Arabidopsis thaliana: one gene and its partner. The protein of the gene in region 1 interacts with the protein of each later gene in a pairwise test. Each region holds a gene or a part of one and is shown on either strand. Other genes may lie near its edges. The genes, in order: NDT2 and ABCG1.

What was found.
Region 2: the proteins of NDT2 (region 1) and ABCG1 interact in a protein complementation assay, tested with the Arabidopsis thaliana proteins (one large-scale study listed by BioGRID).

The regions. Positions count from the first base shown.
Region 1 is NC_003070.9:8,899,465-8,908,004, forward strand, and holds NDT2 (NAD+ transporter 2), read left to right. Parts: upstream 1-3,940; 5' UTR 3,941-4,261; coding exon 4,262-4,343; intron 4,344-4,434; coding exon 4,435-4,530; intron 4,531-4,734; coding exon 4,735-4,841; intron 4,842-5,030; coding exon 5,031-5,079; intron 5,080-5,207; coding exon 5,208-5,311; intron 5,312-5,408; coding exon 5,409-5,503; intron 5,504-5,620; coding exon 5,621-5,709; intron 5,710-5,797; coding exon 5,798-5,892; intron 5,893-5,979; coding exon 5,980-6,354; 3' UTR 6,355-6,991; downstream 6,992-8,540. Other genes in the region: AT1G25375 (Metallo-hydrolase/oxidoreductase superfamily protein), read right to left, coding at 815-1,003, 1,147-1,321, 1,483-1,592, 1,779-1,824, 1,926-1,999, 2,098-2,183, 2,255-2,326, 2,455-2,530 and 4 more; AT1G25390 (Protein kinase superfamily protein), read right to left, coding at 7,176-8,143, 8,226-8,465. UniProt on the Arabidopsis thaliana protein: Mediates the NAD(+) import into chloroplast. Favors the NAD(+)(in)/ADP or AMP(out) antiport exchange, but is also able to catalyze a low unidirectional transport (uniport) of NAD(+).
Region 2 is NC_003071.7:16,428,021-16,435,995, forward strand, and holds ABCG1 (ABC-2 type transporter family protein), read right to left. Parts: upstream 4,538-7,975; 5' UTR 4,377-4,537; coding exon 2,154-4,376; 3' UTR 2,065-2,153; downstream 1-2,064. Other genes in the region: SAC3A (SAC3/GANP/Nin1/mts3/eIF-3 p25 family), read left to right, coding at 1-128, 256-315, 684-814, 1,097-1,230, 1,326-1,555, 1,656-1,751.

The DNA of each region.
Region 1 (8,540 bases):
CTAGTAATCTATAATTCGGTTACCTCAATATCTTAGGTCCTTTTTTTTTTTTTGATCAAAATATCTTAGGTCTAATCTATATGCATTAGAGAAAAAGTTTGTTACACAAAATAAAAATAACCGTTGGATTGCTTTAGTCTTTCATCTTAACCGTTTATTTTAACCCATCGCACAATCTCACTCGAAGCCTTTTTGTTTCCTTTTTTTTGTGTGAGTTTCTTCTCCGTTTCTAATAACACTTTTACTAGGTCAATTTGAAAAATTAAGATACCAATTTCCTTTTTTCGAAAATTTAATGGCTTCTAGTAATCTATAATTCGGTTACCTCAATATCTTAGGTCCTTTTTTTTTTTTTGATCAAAATATCTTAGGTCTAATCTATATGCATTAGAGAAAAAGTTTGTTACACAAAATAAAAATAAACTCCAAAGTCCAAAGTCTACTCGCTTTTCTCAAAGGATCAATTTAAAGTATGATCCAGGTATAATAAGCTGTGACATATCTTGCTCGAGAAACAAATCTCAAATCATTTGAATCTATATACAATTATCTGATAAATGTCAACTAAAAATATATTTATTAATGAATTTGAGAAGTTTCCATATTTATCTGACGACAAAAAAAAAAAAAAAAAAATCCAAACGACACTTTATAATTTCTAGTAGATATTTGAGAAGTAGTCAACTTTCCATTTTTGAAGTGTTTTTATTACCTATAATAATAATGAAGTTGAAGTTCTTAAAAAGGGTATATTACGAAATTTAACTTTTTACATGATTTATAGATCCCACAATCTTTTACTATGACTTACTCATCAAGATTCAATCTGGTTCTTCTTTTTGGATGTGTACAGAAGAAAATATCCAGCTCCTGCAGCCATCACTGACATAATGAAACCTGGCTTATTGATCTTGAACGGAATCTTGCTAATGATATAACCCACTGTACACCGTATCGCAAAACGTAATCCGCAACTTGCTTTGAACTTTTGGATTGAGAATCCCTGGATCAAATCAATACAATAAGAATGAGTAGTGAAGCAGTGCTAGTAACATTTGCTAAGAACTTTCTAAGCTTGTCTTTTTGTGATATGTTTCCTAAGAATGTAAGTTTTTGTGTGCATTTGGAATTAAAGAAGAGTTTTACCTCTGGTAATTTGTTTTCTACTGCCAGCTTCTCGATATGCAGCCTTACGTTTGATGATGCAGCCCACCAGAATTTGCGATCCACACTTGAGTACACCTTAGCAACAATGTCATATAACGTCTGAGCTCCATCCACAGTGGCCTTTAGGATTGATTTTTCTCTGCTTCTGCGGTTTCTGGAAAACAAGATCACCCCTCCCATCAAAATTCCTTTATATATTAATGTATCAAATATCTTAATAAGTTCACTCTACTTTTATCTGATCAAACTGATAGACAAAACAGTAACAGGGTTTTAAACATCAGATTATCCACTACAGCATATTCTTATTCATACTTGAGATATCCACAAAGCATGTGTTTCGGCCACAAATTGACCCTTCCATGCATGGGAATCACCACATTTGGAGAAAGCTCCAGGAATTTATATGTCGACTGAAAGTAATCCTGCAACGGAAAATTGGAAATTAAGGAAGTGCATTTACTATCTTACCCAACACCTAACATTGAAACAACAAATTTGGAAACAAAACGCTACTAGAAAACATCGCAATCTACCACAGGTAAACCCTCACACTACGTTTGCATTGAAGTATTCAAAACAGAAAACAGACTGAGCATGCTTATACTTACTGTCATGTTACCACCTGCCCTGATGTCCAAGAAAGCACTTCCTTGACTGAAACAACCCAAAATGGTGAGTTAACATTTCTTGAGTTAATCAAATTTGACTGATTTGAATTAGCCTATAGCAACATAAATTTTAGTTGCTTGTCTTACCCAACACAATGATCACCAACAATCAGAGATTGAGTGGAGGTATGAAGTAGTGACATATGACCATCTGTGTGTCCCTGGAGTATTTTACTTAGTTAAGAGTTTATCAAAATGTATACTTTCAGCAGTGCAGCCAATCTGAGAGCTATCAAGGATTTAAAGAGCTGGATGGTACCGGAGCAAAAATGACGGTCAGTTTTTGACCGTTGACATAGATGTTTTCTCCTCCAGAAACTGGGGTATAGTTACCAGACCAACCACCTGGACTCAGAGAGTATCCGAACATTAGAAGGTGGATTTTATGAATGGAAAACAATATAGAAGAATGATACCAATGCGATGCCTAGTTTTAGCATGTGCCACTAGAATAGCATCAGGATTGCTCTCTTGTATAGCAGAAAGACCTGAAGCAGAGATGAAGATGAATAACATTGGCAATGGCATAAAAATGTTTTAGAATTTCAAGAGAGTAAAAATAAAAACAAAAGAAGCCACACCAAAGCAGAACGAGAAAAAAAAAACAAATCTTTACCATCAATGTGATCACGATGGTGATGTGTAACAAAGACAATTAGCTTTCTAGGTAAAGCATCAACGATTTTCTTGAGCTGGTTAAGACAAAAAAAAATGCAGTTGTGAATAATTTAAAATGCAAAATGTAAAGACCAGATCTTCTGTACCATTCGAAAAAGAAGTAAAGAATATAGTATGAAGAGCGAAAACAACACGTAGCTACTAGCTAGGGACAAACCTCAACGTGGAGTTTAGAGAGACATCCAGGATCCACTATCAACGCATCCCCATGAGCTACAAAATCAGCCCCTTGATGGTCCCCCAAACCATTTTCTGGAGCAAACACAACCAAATTTGTTGTCCTGAAAGGTTTCAATGTTTTGCTATGCATCGGCACAATCATAACACCAGGTGGATATTCCTGAGATAATAAAGACATTAAAAAGTAGGATTCTAGTAAAGAACAACATCATAAGATGGAACCGCTTTGATGAAGTAAGATGAAGAAGACAAGTATAGATACTTAGATAGTATGGCAACAAGAGACCTGGATAGCCAGAGAAGATGACAACTTATGCTTCATAGACTGACGGGAACCATCCCCAAGTCCAAGTAGTACTAATGGTCCAACGCGATCACTGCCCAATTTTACATCTATAAGAGAGTCGAAGCATGATTCCATTGACATCCACTTACAGTTGTCTGCACAAAAACAAAACTTTTTGTTTCAGTTTCCAATTCTCAACGTTTCTTTCGAATCGAGTGAAGCTATTTCCATAAGCTCTGAAAATGTGGAAATCAAGAGAGATTAATACTGTATACTATCGAATTAAGGACGACCTTGTAAACTTTGATCTGTATTTAAGAGCTTCCCGGAGATAAAACAAGTACGGACACAAGAGTCAGGTCCAAACTCAGGCTCTTCTACAGACCTGACGAATCTCCACTCTCCTACATCGCTAATATCAATCCCTAAATTCTCCAGCAGCTGCATTTACTCGGAAACATTAATTCGCGGAAACAATGAGAAAAAGAGGACAGTGCTAAACTCATAAATTACCAGAATCAGTGTGGATTCGAAGTCGAAATTCATCAAATCAACCTCCTCCGAGCATGAGTCAAGTATAGAAATACTAAATCCGGACCTCACTCCGTCTTCCAGAGCCTGTAAATCTGTTGACGGTAAGTCCCAGAGATCGGAATCGACAAAGGAATCGTAAGCTTCATCTCCAAATTTCGCCGGCTGTTTTTGCTTCTCGAGTAGGAACTCAACGTCGTCTCTAGGGCTCTTGATGATCAAAGCAAGTTTCAGATTTCCCATTTCTGCAGAATCGGAATTCACAAGTGTGAAGAAGCTCGCCGATGAAAGTTTTCCTTGTTTTTCAAAGTTTAAGCGGACCCAAACCAAATCGGTTAAACCGTTGGGTTACGGTTTAGCTTGGTTTGATCGAATTATACCGGATTCAGTCAGATTATAATTTGATAATCAGATAGAGGCAAAAAGTGTTCAACTTTCTTTCTTCTTGGGTTGTGTGTTGTTGTTGTTAAATGTGTGACGTCATCTCAAACCAACTGTGCTTCTTCGGAATCTGTAAGAAAAAAAATCGATCCTTTCGACTAGGGACCGCCTAAATCATACGCAAACAAAGTCTCTTCCTTTACCCGTCTACACGTTCGAATTTTTTCTCCGGGTCGGGTCAATGTCAAGAACGACGAGAATTGTATATAATCGTCGATTCACGTGGCCGGGTTTATCATTTACTGCTGGATCTCGTTTTCAATTTTGAGTCAGATTCCCCCCAATTGAGAGATTCTAGGGTTTTAAGATGATTGAACATGGGAACTCTACCTTTGATTACCGGAGTATTAGAGAAGTCGCTGCAAACGCCGGCGCCGGAGCCACCGCAGGTTAGTTTCAATTATCTGTTTTCAAGTTCGTCTTTTGATTCGGGTAGCTGAATTTTTGTTTTGTTTGGTTGATTTGGGGATTTTTTTTCAGGGGCTATCGCGGCGACTTTTGTTTGTCCATTAGATGTGATCAAAACAAGGTTACAGGTTCTTGGTCTCCCTGAAGCTCCAGCCTCTGGTCAAAGAGGTACTACTTGCTTCAAACTGAGCTTAATTTTCTTAAGAGTATGACTAGTGTATGTAGTTGTAGATCTAATGTGATGGGTATGAGAGATTGTGTGAATGCAAGTAGTTTGTTTCTGTTTAAGTTGTTGCATGTTTGATCAAGACTCTCTCTTGTTTGAGTTATTGGATATAGGTGTTAACTAGCTACATCTGTTTGTGATATCAGGTGGTGTAATCATTACAAGTCTGAAGAATATAATTAAGGAAGAAGGTTATAGGGGAATGTATCGAGGGCTTTCACCAACCATCATAGCTCTCCTTCCAAATTGGGCTGTAAGCACCACTGTTCTCTACAGAGCTTTGTTTCTTCAAGTGAATTTGTCTTGTCATAAAAGATATTACTTGCCCAACATTCTCCTATGGATCTTCTATAGGAGATATTTTATGTCTTCTAATCGATTTTAATCTGTTTTTGAATAACTTTAGTTCCTTCCTTAATCGTTATTCTGGTATCACGCTCAGGTCTACTTCTCAGTTTATGGGAAGCTAAAGGATGTGCTGCAGTCAAGTGGTTGGTTTTCCTTTGTTACAAATCTTTTGTGCGTTGTAGCTTATGCTTAACCGGAAGAGTATCATATATATATGCTCAAATAACGTATACCAAGTCTTTTTTATCAACTGTTCATGTTTGACTGATAGATGGCAAGCTTAGTATTGGGTCAAACATGATAGCTGCAGCTGGTGCTGGAGCTGCCACATCTATTGCAACTAATCCGCTTTGGGTTGTCAAGACAAGATTAATGGTAACTTTTGTCTTCTTTCTTTGGTTTCAGCTTTACTAGACATGTTGAATTTGTTTTATCATAAGATACTTGACCTAACCTCTTACCGTTTTTTCAGACGCAAGGAATTAGGCCTGGTGTGGTACCTTACAAAAGTGTAATGTCTGCATTTAGTAGGATTTGTCATGAAGAAGGAGTGCGAGGGTTGTACAGGTTAGTGTCTCATATGAAACTGAAAGTTCCGTAAATTTGAACACCTTTTTCTTGTGATATTTCGTGCTTATGTTAAACGTTTTAGTTATATTGCTTATATTTCCTGTATTGGAACAGTGGCATATTGCCTTCTTTGGCGGGAGTAAGCCATGTCGCGATCCAGTTTCCAGCTTATGAAAAAATTAAGCAATACATGGCAAAGATGGGTAAAACATGATTCCTCCAGTAAAATATTGTTACATAATCATGTGCTGTTCCCAACTAGTTTCTGATCAGAGCTATAAAAGTTCTCAGATAATACATCCGTGGAGAATCTGAGTCCTGGGAATGTTGCTATTGCCTCCTCCATCGCGAAAGTGATCGCCTCTATTTTGACTTACCCACACGAGGTCTCTCTTCTTCTTCTCTTTTGTGCTCTCTTTACCTCACTCTTAAGCTCATAACTAACTATAAACTGTTTTATGTTACATCCACAGGTAATTAGGGCGAAGCTTCAAGAACAAGGGCAGATTAGAAATGCTGAGACTAAGTATTCAGGAGTCATTGATTGCATCACAAAGGTGTTCAGAAGCGAAGGGATTCCTGGGTTGTACCGTGGATGTGCCACTAATCTACTGAGGACAACTCCATCAGCAGTTATTACATTTACAACCTATGAGATGATGCTTAGGTTTTTCCGACAAGTTGTGCCACCAGAGACTAATAGGTCGGATGATCGCAGAAGAGAAGAAGAAAGAAAGAATTTAGTTAGCCGACGAGGAGAAGAAGAAGATAAAGATTTGGGTTTGAGAGAATCACAAACTCAATCTAATAAGATCAGCACTCCCCATATCCCTCTTGGAAGCAAATAAAACTTTTTCAGACTCAAGCCATGCTTCATAGGTTTTCTTTTTTTCGATGCCATGTTCCAACTACGTAATTTTTCCCCATGCGGTGATTGAGTTGTAACCTTTTCTCGTGGTTCTAACAAATGTGTAAACTATCAATAAACTACTTTTTGGCCCTTTTGATGATCAGTGAGTATTTGAAGATCGTATTCGTTGTGGTATTCTAAGAGTTATAGTTGAGATCCCTCTCTGTTTCACACTCTATGTGCAAATTTGCAGGTTGTGGGGTTTATAGAAAAGTAGATGCTTTGGATGGAATTTTGTGGGCACTACAGATTTCTTTCCTTCTTCTTTCTTGAAACTGCCGCTTCAATTACCACCAGGTAATGGGATCTTCTTCCTCGGGTTATATAAGCTTTTAGCACTTTGAAGGAACAACTATCACCGAGGAAAGACGTGTTTCTGGTTTGAGAGATTTTTCTTGGATGCCTTGGGAATCTTGCCTTTTATACCGATAATGTATCCAAATTAGTTTCTGGTATCAGATCTGGTGATTAACAAGATAGATAGGCCTGGAATCAGTAGATAGATACCACTGAGATTATAACGGAGCTGTGAATGTGAGTCAAGTTACCTCTTACTGTCAATTTTTTTTTTCTTTTTATAAATACCTTTTGATTCAATCTTACATACAGTAGACAAAATTAGACATAGAAAATTGGTGATTGGTAGTTCAAGTTATGTCACTATGTACATTCTCTCGGTACCTACTGCTTCACAACCCTGTGCCTCATCTTATATCGTTCCATTGAAACAAATGAGAAGAAACCAATACCTGGTGGATCCTAGAATTCGTAGGCGCTGGTATTCGGTGTGGTTGATTTACTTGTCCATTGGTCAGTCACAGAGACTGGTGAACGTGGGAATTTCATATTTTTTAATAGTGCAGCCTCACCCCAATCTGGTGGCGAAGGGTGTGGAATTATTGTCTCCTCTCTGTAGTCGTAGGTTGGACATTTTTGCTCCTCATTCTGGATTCCTTTTAGCTCGTGCACAACTTGTTCCATTGTGGGTCTCATTGTATTGTCTTGCTGCAAGCACTGAAAAGCCAACTCTGCCACCATTGTAGTCATTTTTCTAACTCCTTCATTCGTTGCATATCCAAGATTCTGATCAATCAGCTCGTGGGTCGCATGGTTTTGTATCTTGTTTATTGCTAAGCTTGATAGATTGATCTCACTCTTGCATCTACTTATATCAACAGCAGGCTTCGATGATATCAGCTCGACAAGCACCACCCCAAAGCTATACACGTCACTCTTATCTGTTAGATGATAGCAGCGATGATATTCTGGATCCACGTATCCCGGAGTACCCTGAGGAGCAGTTGAAACATGAGTTACATCACTCGGGAGCAACCTGGATAGCCCAAAATCCGCGACTTTTACTCCGAAATTCCTGTCGAGGAGAATGTTTGTAGTCTTGACATCCCGGTGTATGATATCCGAAGCATGAAGGTAAGCCAATGCACTCGCTGTTTCTATGGCGATGCTCAGGCGCATTGACCATGTTAAAAAGCCTTGGTGTGGCGTGTTTTCGCCATAGAGATGATCTGCAACTGTGCCATTTGGAATAAACTCATAGACAAGGAGAAGCTCTCGGCTGCGGCGTGAAGTGCATCCATAGAGGGAGACTAGATTCTTGTGATGGAGACGTGTGAGGATTTCTATCTCGTTCATGAATTGCTCAAGTCTTCTGTAATTGTGCTCATAGAGACGCTTCACTGCAACTTCTCGCCCATCACGCACTTTTCCTGAGATCAAAAAGGAAGAAAAGATTAGCTTAACAGAGATTTCACACTTTTCTAAAAGTGTTCGTGCTCTGATCAATCTTACCATAGTACACAGTGCCAAAGCCTCCATCTCCTAGTAATCTGTCTTTACTAAAGTTGTCTGTTGCTGCTTGAAGTTCCTTATAGGAGAAGATTGGTATCTTAAAGAAGACTTGACTAAACTCAACGTCAGATTTTGAGTTGTCTCTGGAGAGCTCTGAACCATCTTTCCTTCTGTAATTCCTATGGATGACAGCAAAGAGTGCCACCAAGATGATTATCAAGATGACAGATCCTCCTATTCCTATCGACAATTAGAGAGGTAACTGATTCAAATTGAGTATTTCATGGAAAAAGATGAAACTTAAGGAGGAAAACA
Region 2 (7,975 bases), on another chromosome or scaffold:
ATGTTTTGGAAAAAGCTCTGATAATGGTTCAGGATTCTCAAAAGAATTATCTTTTTAAATGTGATCAACTAAAGTCTATTCGCCAAGACCTCACAGTACAACGGATACACAATCATTTAACAGCTAAGGTACATAACTGACTTCCAATAATGTCGAGTGTTATTGCATGTAGGATTCATTTCCTGTTGGAACGTTTATCTTATTTACACCCAATTAGCATGTTTATAATGGTTCCATGTGCAATCTCAATTTCAGGTTTATGAAACACATGCTAGATTAGCTTTGGAGGCAGGGGATTTACCTGAGTATAATCAGGTTGGTACGCTAGCATAGATTGATAGATCAATCAGAATTTCTAGTTCAAATTCGGTATCAAGCACTTTTGTCTTTTTCGTAATTTAAAGAGTATCAACCACTGCTAGAATTTCACTGGTCTCTCATTTTCTAAAAAATAAAAAAGCAACATAAAGTGTTGAATCAGAGAGAAACTTTGCAAAAGGGAGCATAGTTCTGATGACTGGTTACTATGGATTGTGGCTTTTGTTTGCATTGATTCTGCAATATAATGATACCGTTCCATCAAGTCTTGTAAAATACATCTGTTGTCTATTCCTGAGGAGACTATAACTCTTAGGGTATGTATAGCCTTGCTAAATTGATTTCTATTTTTTTTTTTGTTACAGTGCCTGTCACAGTTAAAAACTCTTTATGCGGAAGGTGTAGAAGGATGCTCTCTGGAGTTTGCTGCGTACAGTCTACTCTATATTACTCTACACTCTAACAACAACCGAGAACTGCTATCATCCATGTCCAGGTTAGTAGTTGTAAAGTCCCATCTCTGGGCTCCTTTTAAGCATGATGCATTCATGGTTCATGGGAATTTTTTTTATAAATTAAGGTTTTGTAGAAATATCAGAATATGGTTTGCTACACAATTTCTTTGAGTTAGTAATGGAATTATTAATGTTCTGTCCACCTACCTGATAGTTGAGTTTTTGTAACATCTCTTCCTACCAGTGCAAAGAGGTTACTACTACCTCTTTGAATTGGGTTTGTATGCATGAGATTGAGTAATTTTGTGACCTCTGTTTTGAAGATTATCCGAAGAAGATAAGAAGGATGAAGCAGTTAGACATGCTCTTTCAGTTCGTGCAGCTGTCACATCAGGGAATTATGTTATGTTCTTCAGACTCTACAAGACTGCACCAAACATGAATAGTTGCCTCATGGGTAAGGGTCATATGATACATGAAAACTCTCTTGATATATTTAAACAATTGAATGAGTAGATATGTAAAGATATGGTGAAATTGTTATGTTTGCAGATCTCTATGTGGAGAAGATGCGTTACAAGGCTGTGAATTTTATGTCTCGTAGTTGTCGTCCTACAATCCCGGTCTCATACATAGTCCAAGTGTTGGGATTTACTGGTGCTGCAAGCGAAGGTACTGATGAAAAGGAGACCGATGGTATGGAGGACTGTTTGGAATGGCTAAAAACTCATGGTGCTAACATCATTACTGACAGCAACGGAGATATGCTTCTTGATACCAAGGTAAGTCTTCTTTTGCATTTGCCATATGTTTGTTATGAAACTTGTAGATCCTTATTTTCAAGATATGGATTGAGAACTGGTTGTGTTATTCCTTGTGCAGGCGACATCAACGAGTCTCTTCATGCCAGAACCCGAAGACGCAGTTGCTCATGGAGATCGAAATCTAGATGTCAATGATTTTTTTACACGTACATGATGAAATATTTTTAATGTTTGTTATAGTCTGATGGAAACAGAAAAAGCAAAATCGAAGTTCATCATATCTTTTGATCTTAAGGAGACCAATGAAGATAATCCAAGGCTCTCTGGCTTCATCATCATCATTATCTGCTCACACACACAATCTCAGGTATGACATTAGGTTTATAATACTTGATAGTCTGTTAGTAGGAAACGTTTGGAAGATAAGTCAAATTTGTTTGTAAAGACGTTTTTGTGAATATGGAAATCCTTATTCTTCTATAAGATTTTGAGATAAGGGAATCCAGGAGACATACCTCTTTTTATATATATGAAAAGAAACCATTTTCATTAAACAATTCAAGGAATTACAAACAGAAAATACAAGTATGTTTTGATTTGGGTCTTCTAGTTGTTTTCACCTCCGCTTGTTCTTGCTTCCTAGTAACAAAGTGAAGTAGAACAAAATCCTAAAAAAGAACCCAAAAGCAACTGTGATGAACAAGCAATTCCATTTACTCAGCTGAACCACACCTTGCTGCCTCAGAATATCTGAACCAGTAGTTAAACAAGTCGTGCTCGATATCGTTACCCCGAGGGACTTGCTCACTGTACCAAGAAGCTTCAGCTTCATCACTTCCGGTAGTTCCCCTAATGGCGTGTTGTCGAAAATCTGAACTCCTCTCACAAAACACTTGGTCGCATCAGAGAACTCGTTCTGTAAAACCGCTTCATACGGGTACTTCACCAATGACATGTAATGAAACCAAATCCAGTAATCCGGGATTCGGTTTCTGTTGATGAAGAATCCACTGAACAACAAGAAGTAAGCCAAAATAGCAACGACGATTGTGTAACCCAACATCACACTAGGAACCACACCTGATAGAAACGTGACAAAGGAGCTTCCTGACCAGAACGAGGCTAAAATGATCAGACAGTAGAACAAAAGGCCCGTTAGGCCTCCATCTAAGCCCACTGCCCAATACGTCGTCGCCGCGAAAGCTACAGAGAGGAAGATGAGCGACGGGAATGAGACGATGGCGTGAGAGAGAACGTATGAGGATCTCCGGTAAGCGTTGTAAGCAGTTTCTCTCATGAAGATATAACGTTCCTGGAGAAAAACTGGTAACGCATCGGCGCAAGTGTAGAACATTGTCGACATCGCGAAGGCGAAGAACCCTAACCGCTCTTGAACTCCTTTAGGCGAATTATCTAATCGCCAGAACACGGTGGCGAGAATGAATCCGGTGATAACAACAGAGGCGATTCTGATTCCGAATAGCTCTGGTTGTCTTCGTGAATTGAGCATTGATCGTTTCGAGAGAGTTTTGATTTCGATCCACATTGGATTCGCGAATGCAGGAACGGCTAGGGTTGTGGTGTTGGTGGTTGCTCCGCCGTGAGCGACGGATTCACCGCCGGAAACTAGCTTTCCTCTGCTGATACTTGCGGCGATTGCTTCTTTTAGTGTTAGATTTGGGTACGGTGATGACGGTGGAGTCAACGGTGGTTGACGATTGCTCTGTTTCTTCATCTCTTGCCATTTTTTGTTGAATTCGATTAATCCTCTCGTTCCTCCGGCGGATCCTTCAAGCTCACGGATGAGATCTAACGCAAACTCCGTTCGATTCTCGTTCTCCGGTATCGGACTCCCGAATTCGGTGAAAAAACGTGGAAGACTCGCCGGAGATCCACTATACACGGTGTGGCCACGTGACAAGAAGATTAACCGGTCAAGCAAACCGAGAACACGATGACTAGGTTGATGAATCGACATAATTACGATACTACCACTCTGAGCAATCCTCTTCAATACTTTAACCACCATGAAAGCACTCGTTGAATCCAAACCAGAGGTTGGTTCATCGAGGAAGAGAAGAATCGGATCGTGAATTATATCAATTCCGATGGAAACACGTCTTCTTTCACCACCGGAGATTCCACGGTGACCTTCGTCTCCTATAATAGTTTTAGCCGCGTTTCTGATACCTAGTTGATCAATCAAAGCTTGCACACGAAGCTTCTTTTTAGATTTAGGTAAACTTCTCGGGAGACGAAACTCAGCTGCGAACATTAGTGTTTCTTCAACGGTAAGCATTGGGAAGAGAAGGTCATCTTGCATCACGTAAGCTGATATAACTTTGAGCATTCGAGATTGAAGTGTTTCTCCGTTTAGCTTCACTGTTCCTTTTAAGCTTCCTTTGGCAATCCGATTCGCTAATGCATCGATCAGTGTTGATTTTCCCGAGCCGCTAGCGCCTAGAACAGCCATGATTTCTCCATCTCGTGTCTCGCCAGAGATATTATTGAGAAGGGTTTTAGTTTTTGGCCTCGCCGTTTGAGCTATCTCCGGATCCTCTGTTCTCCTACGTGGAAAGAGATTGCGGAAGTCTAGTTTTGGACGAACAGAGACGTTGTATGTGAGATTGTCGAATGAGAGAACGAATGGAACTGTACGCATGTAACCATCGTTGTAGTCTTGGTTTAAGGACTCGTGAACTGGAGTCTCGTCTCCAATAGCCATTTTTCTGACGTCACTAACGTTCTTCAGAAGTTGCCCTAAAGTTGAATCGTGTATAGAGGAGATGGTGTTTAGCTCCATGGAATCATCATCATTAGCTGCTACAATACGAGCCATAGATACAATAGAAAAACTTTTAAAGAGTGATTTAACAAATTAACGGCCTTAAAACACTCTCATAACGTACTGTTCTAGAAGAAGAAGAAGAAGAAGAAGAAGAAGAAGAAGAGACAGCAGTGTTTATTGTTTAGTTTATGGGACTTTTGTTGGATATGTATAAATCTGTTATGTTACTGAAAACTTATATAGAAGCGAGAGAGTGCATGAAGAGACGTGTTTGGATGTGTGAAGACACGAAGGCTATGTTAAATAAGAAAGTCTGGGTGAGTTGCATGGGAAAAGTATGTTAGGTTGATATTTTGACTGTTTGGATGTAAATGCGGTTTTGATTTATTGTTTATTTATTTGGGGAAGGTGAAGAGTCCACCTATCATATCTAAAGTTTCTTAAAGTAGAAATTACCAAATACGTTTTTCTTCTTCTTTTTCTTGGGGTAACGAGAAATTAAAAATATCGGTGGGAACATATGACACGTGGCGAAATGGGTTTTATTGACTTGTGAATTAGCCAATTAGGTAAAGGGTGTTTGTTCATCTAACATATGCATGGGTCGAGGACTTTCGTGTGAGTTTCCCATAGTTGCCTCCATTAATGCTTATTTCATACTACTATTTTTGAGTAAACAAATGTTCAAATTCTGTGAATTTATGTAGAATTAATCACACACAAAAAATCCAAATATTTTACCGGTGCCCGTCGCTTTTAAAGAAGAGTTTTCAAGTGATTACTACAATGTAGAGGTAACAAACACCGTGTGATGTCTAATGTCTATGCCTAGTTAGAAGCATCTAAAATCTGCCTTTTTGTGAAATCAGTATTCTTGATTGCGTTTTAGCCTTTTATATAGTTGACAAAAAATTTGCATTAGGTAACTAAAAGCAATTTTTAAAAGTGGAAACGACAAATTTTCTACTATGGTAGTCAAAGCTTGAATTACATGATTGATGAAGTAGTTAAAAAGCGAAAATATTATCGAAACAAAAAAGTCATGCAAAATTGATGCCAACTTGTAAATGGTTTGTACATGTGAAATAGTATTAATATATACTCAAGGATCTAGGCATGTAGACTGATGTTTTATATTGGTCTATTTCATAGTCGGTCCAATTAAAATCAAAACGTAAATCTATATTAAATGGTTACCTACAAGGCTAGCTAGCTTAGCTACTTCACTTGCCAAACTTAATTAAAAGCCTAGAACTTAATTGAAAGCCTAACACTATGCCGGAAAACTCTTCGACACGCACATGCAAGGTTCGAGTCAAGTTATCTAAAATAAATATAAGGTTCTAGTCAACTCTTTGTAACAAGAATCTTTTGGACTTTAAACCCTTAATTCAAAATGCTAGTTGTAACTTATCTGCTTAGTCGAGTCGGTTTTGCGAAACTTATATGACAAGAGATTAGGCATCCAAAACCTTATTGAGTAAGTCATAGTTTTTTAATGTGGACAACGCCTGACGCATGTCTACATTACCTATGTGTGCACACATATGGTAATTGGCAACTGCAAGCATAACAATATTATATCAATCATTTATCGCAACCTCCTGACGAACTAGCTAGTTAAGATAGCCTAGCCATTCTAATTTGAAAATTTTGTCTCAGCTTTAAATATTGTGTGGTGTGCCATGTTCTAGGTTCTTTCTATATAGTGTTATACCAGTTTAACTGGTGCATCTTTGGTATAATATGTAATATTAATAGTAAATGCTATTTTTGAAGATCTTTATTTGAATTGATGACCTAATTTGAAAATCATGTTCCAGTGTTTTCTAGTTTCTAACTATAACAGTACTGCAATAGGTTTCTGTTGACACCTTAGTGTAGATTTGTAATCAAATTAAACAAAAAAAAAAGGCTTAGTGTAGATTGGTACGATGGTATTTATGCTATTATGGGCGAAGTTCTGATCACTGAAAGTGAAAAGCTATCCGATAGCCCATAAAATGAATCGAGGTTTTATTTATCCAAAATAAAATGAATCGTGATTTTGGAAGTTTTAAATAGTTAGTAAAAATTTTGACCCCAACAAAAAAAAAGTTAGTAAAATTGCGGGTTGATGTCAGTAGTCAATTCTATTCGATCCCAATGCTTTTTGTTAGCTTGTTTCTTTTGACGGGCCGCTTTTTGGTACCTAATGTAGTAATATCTTAACTTCTTAAGTGATATTACTCTGAATTTCAATCCAAACTTTATTCATAATATATTGTAAAAAGAAAACTTGTCGCATAAATTGTATTGAGATGGGTCAATAAGATGACTTCATTTTTTTAATTGTTAAAGAAGATGATTTCATATTTAATGCGATGCATGTGGGTTAAAGTCAAATGGGTCACCAATTAGGTAATTTATATGTGAAGATATTATCGGTAAAGGTCTAGCTTGTTGAGTTAATGCTCAGGTACTTGTTCATGCACGACGGAACTTGGATAAGATCATATGAATTCGATGTAGGATGTGGAGTCTTTAATATCAGTGGCATCTCTTTCTCTTACGATCGTCCTTACTATGGTGTGCACATAAGAGATTGGTTAAAACATCAATTATCTAGCCAAAAATTCGAAGGATTAATTTAAGAGATTTTGAACAAAGCATGATTGATGTAATTATAGAGAATGTAGCGAAGCTTTTATGAATGAATATAACGTGCGAATAGTTTGATAATGACTCATGTCATTCGCTAGTGTTATTAATTTAGTTAGGCAGTACAAATCAGCGTTATCCGACACAAGCTTTGGGGAAAAGAATGGATTTTTTTCTTCAAAACTTGCTACCAAATTGATATTGTTGGACAATCAATTGGTACACATACTAATCACGAAATCCGCATCATCATGAAAGTCACATAATATTGGTTTCTCTTACCAAATATTCTCCAATCACATTGATTTCAAAACCAATTTTGAACGTAACTCACTATCATATTCCTACCTTTCTAGAAATATAATCCTAGGCGGTGTTAGTGGTTAACATGTGTAAGCATTAAATGTGATAGGGAATGCTTTACATTTCCAATTTCATTTTGACTTTTAGCCGTAATTAATTTTTTGTTGACTTTTTGCCTACTAACTTCTAACTGTATTTCCCTTCCTGTCGCCACGATCAAAGGACGGGAAAGTTCGTTCTATCTATATTACAAAAGCTTAGAATTGATTTGGACCACTAGCTTTTAAAATATTTGTTAAAACACTTTGTAATTACTAGTTAATTACTACGACAGTTTACATGTAATGGTTCCAATAACTAATGACGTATTAGTAGAATTAAACTGTAAATCACTATTTTCGATGTGCTAAAATTATTTTCAATTTCAATTACATGTAAAGGTTATCGCCAACAACATGCCTTCCATTTTTTATTTTTTTGATCAAGACATGTGTTATACACATTTAAACATAGATCATTAATTGTCTAAAACCATACTCCATTAACTTTACCCAAATCATATCAACTCTCAACTTTTTTTTTGTTTTTTTGAACTTCCCTAAATTGGGCCATGTTTGCATAATCGGCCCCTCTGGATAATCGGGGAAGTAAATATCCTGGTTATTTCTAGTTTGAACGGCAGATTTATATATATTTTTTCAAAAACC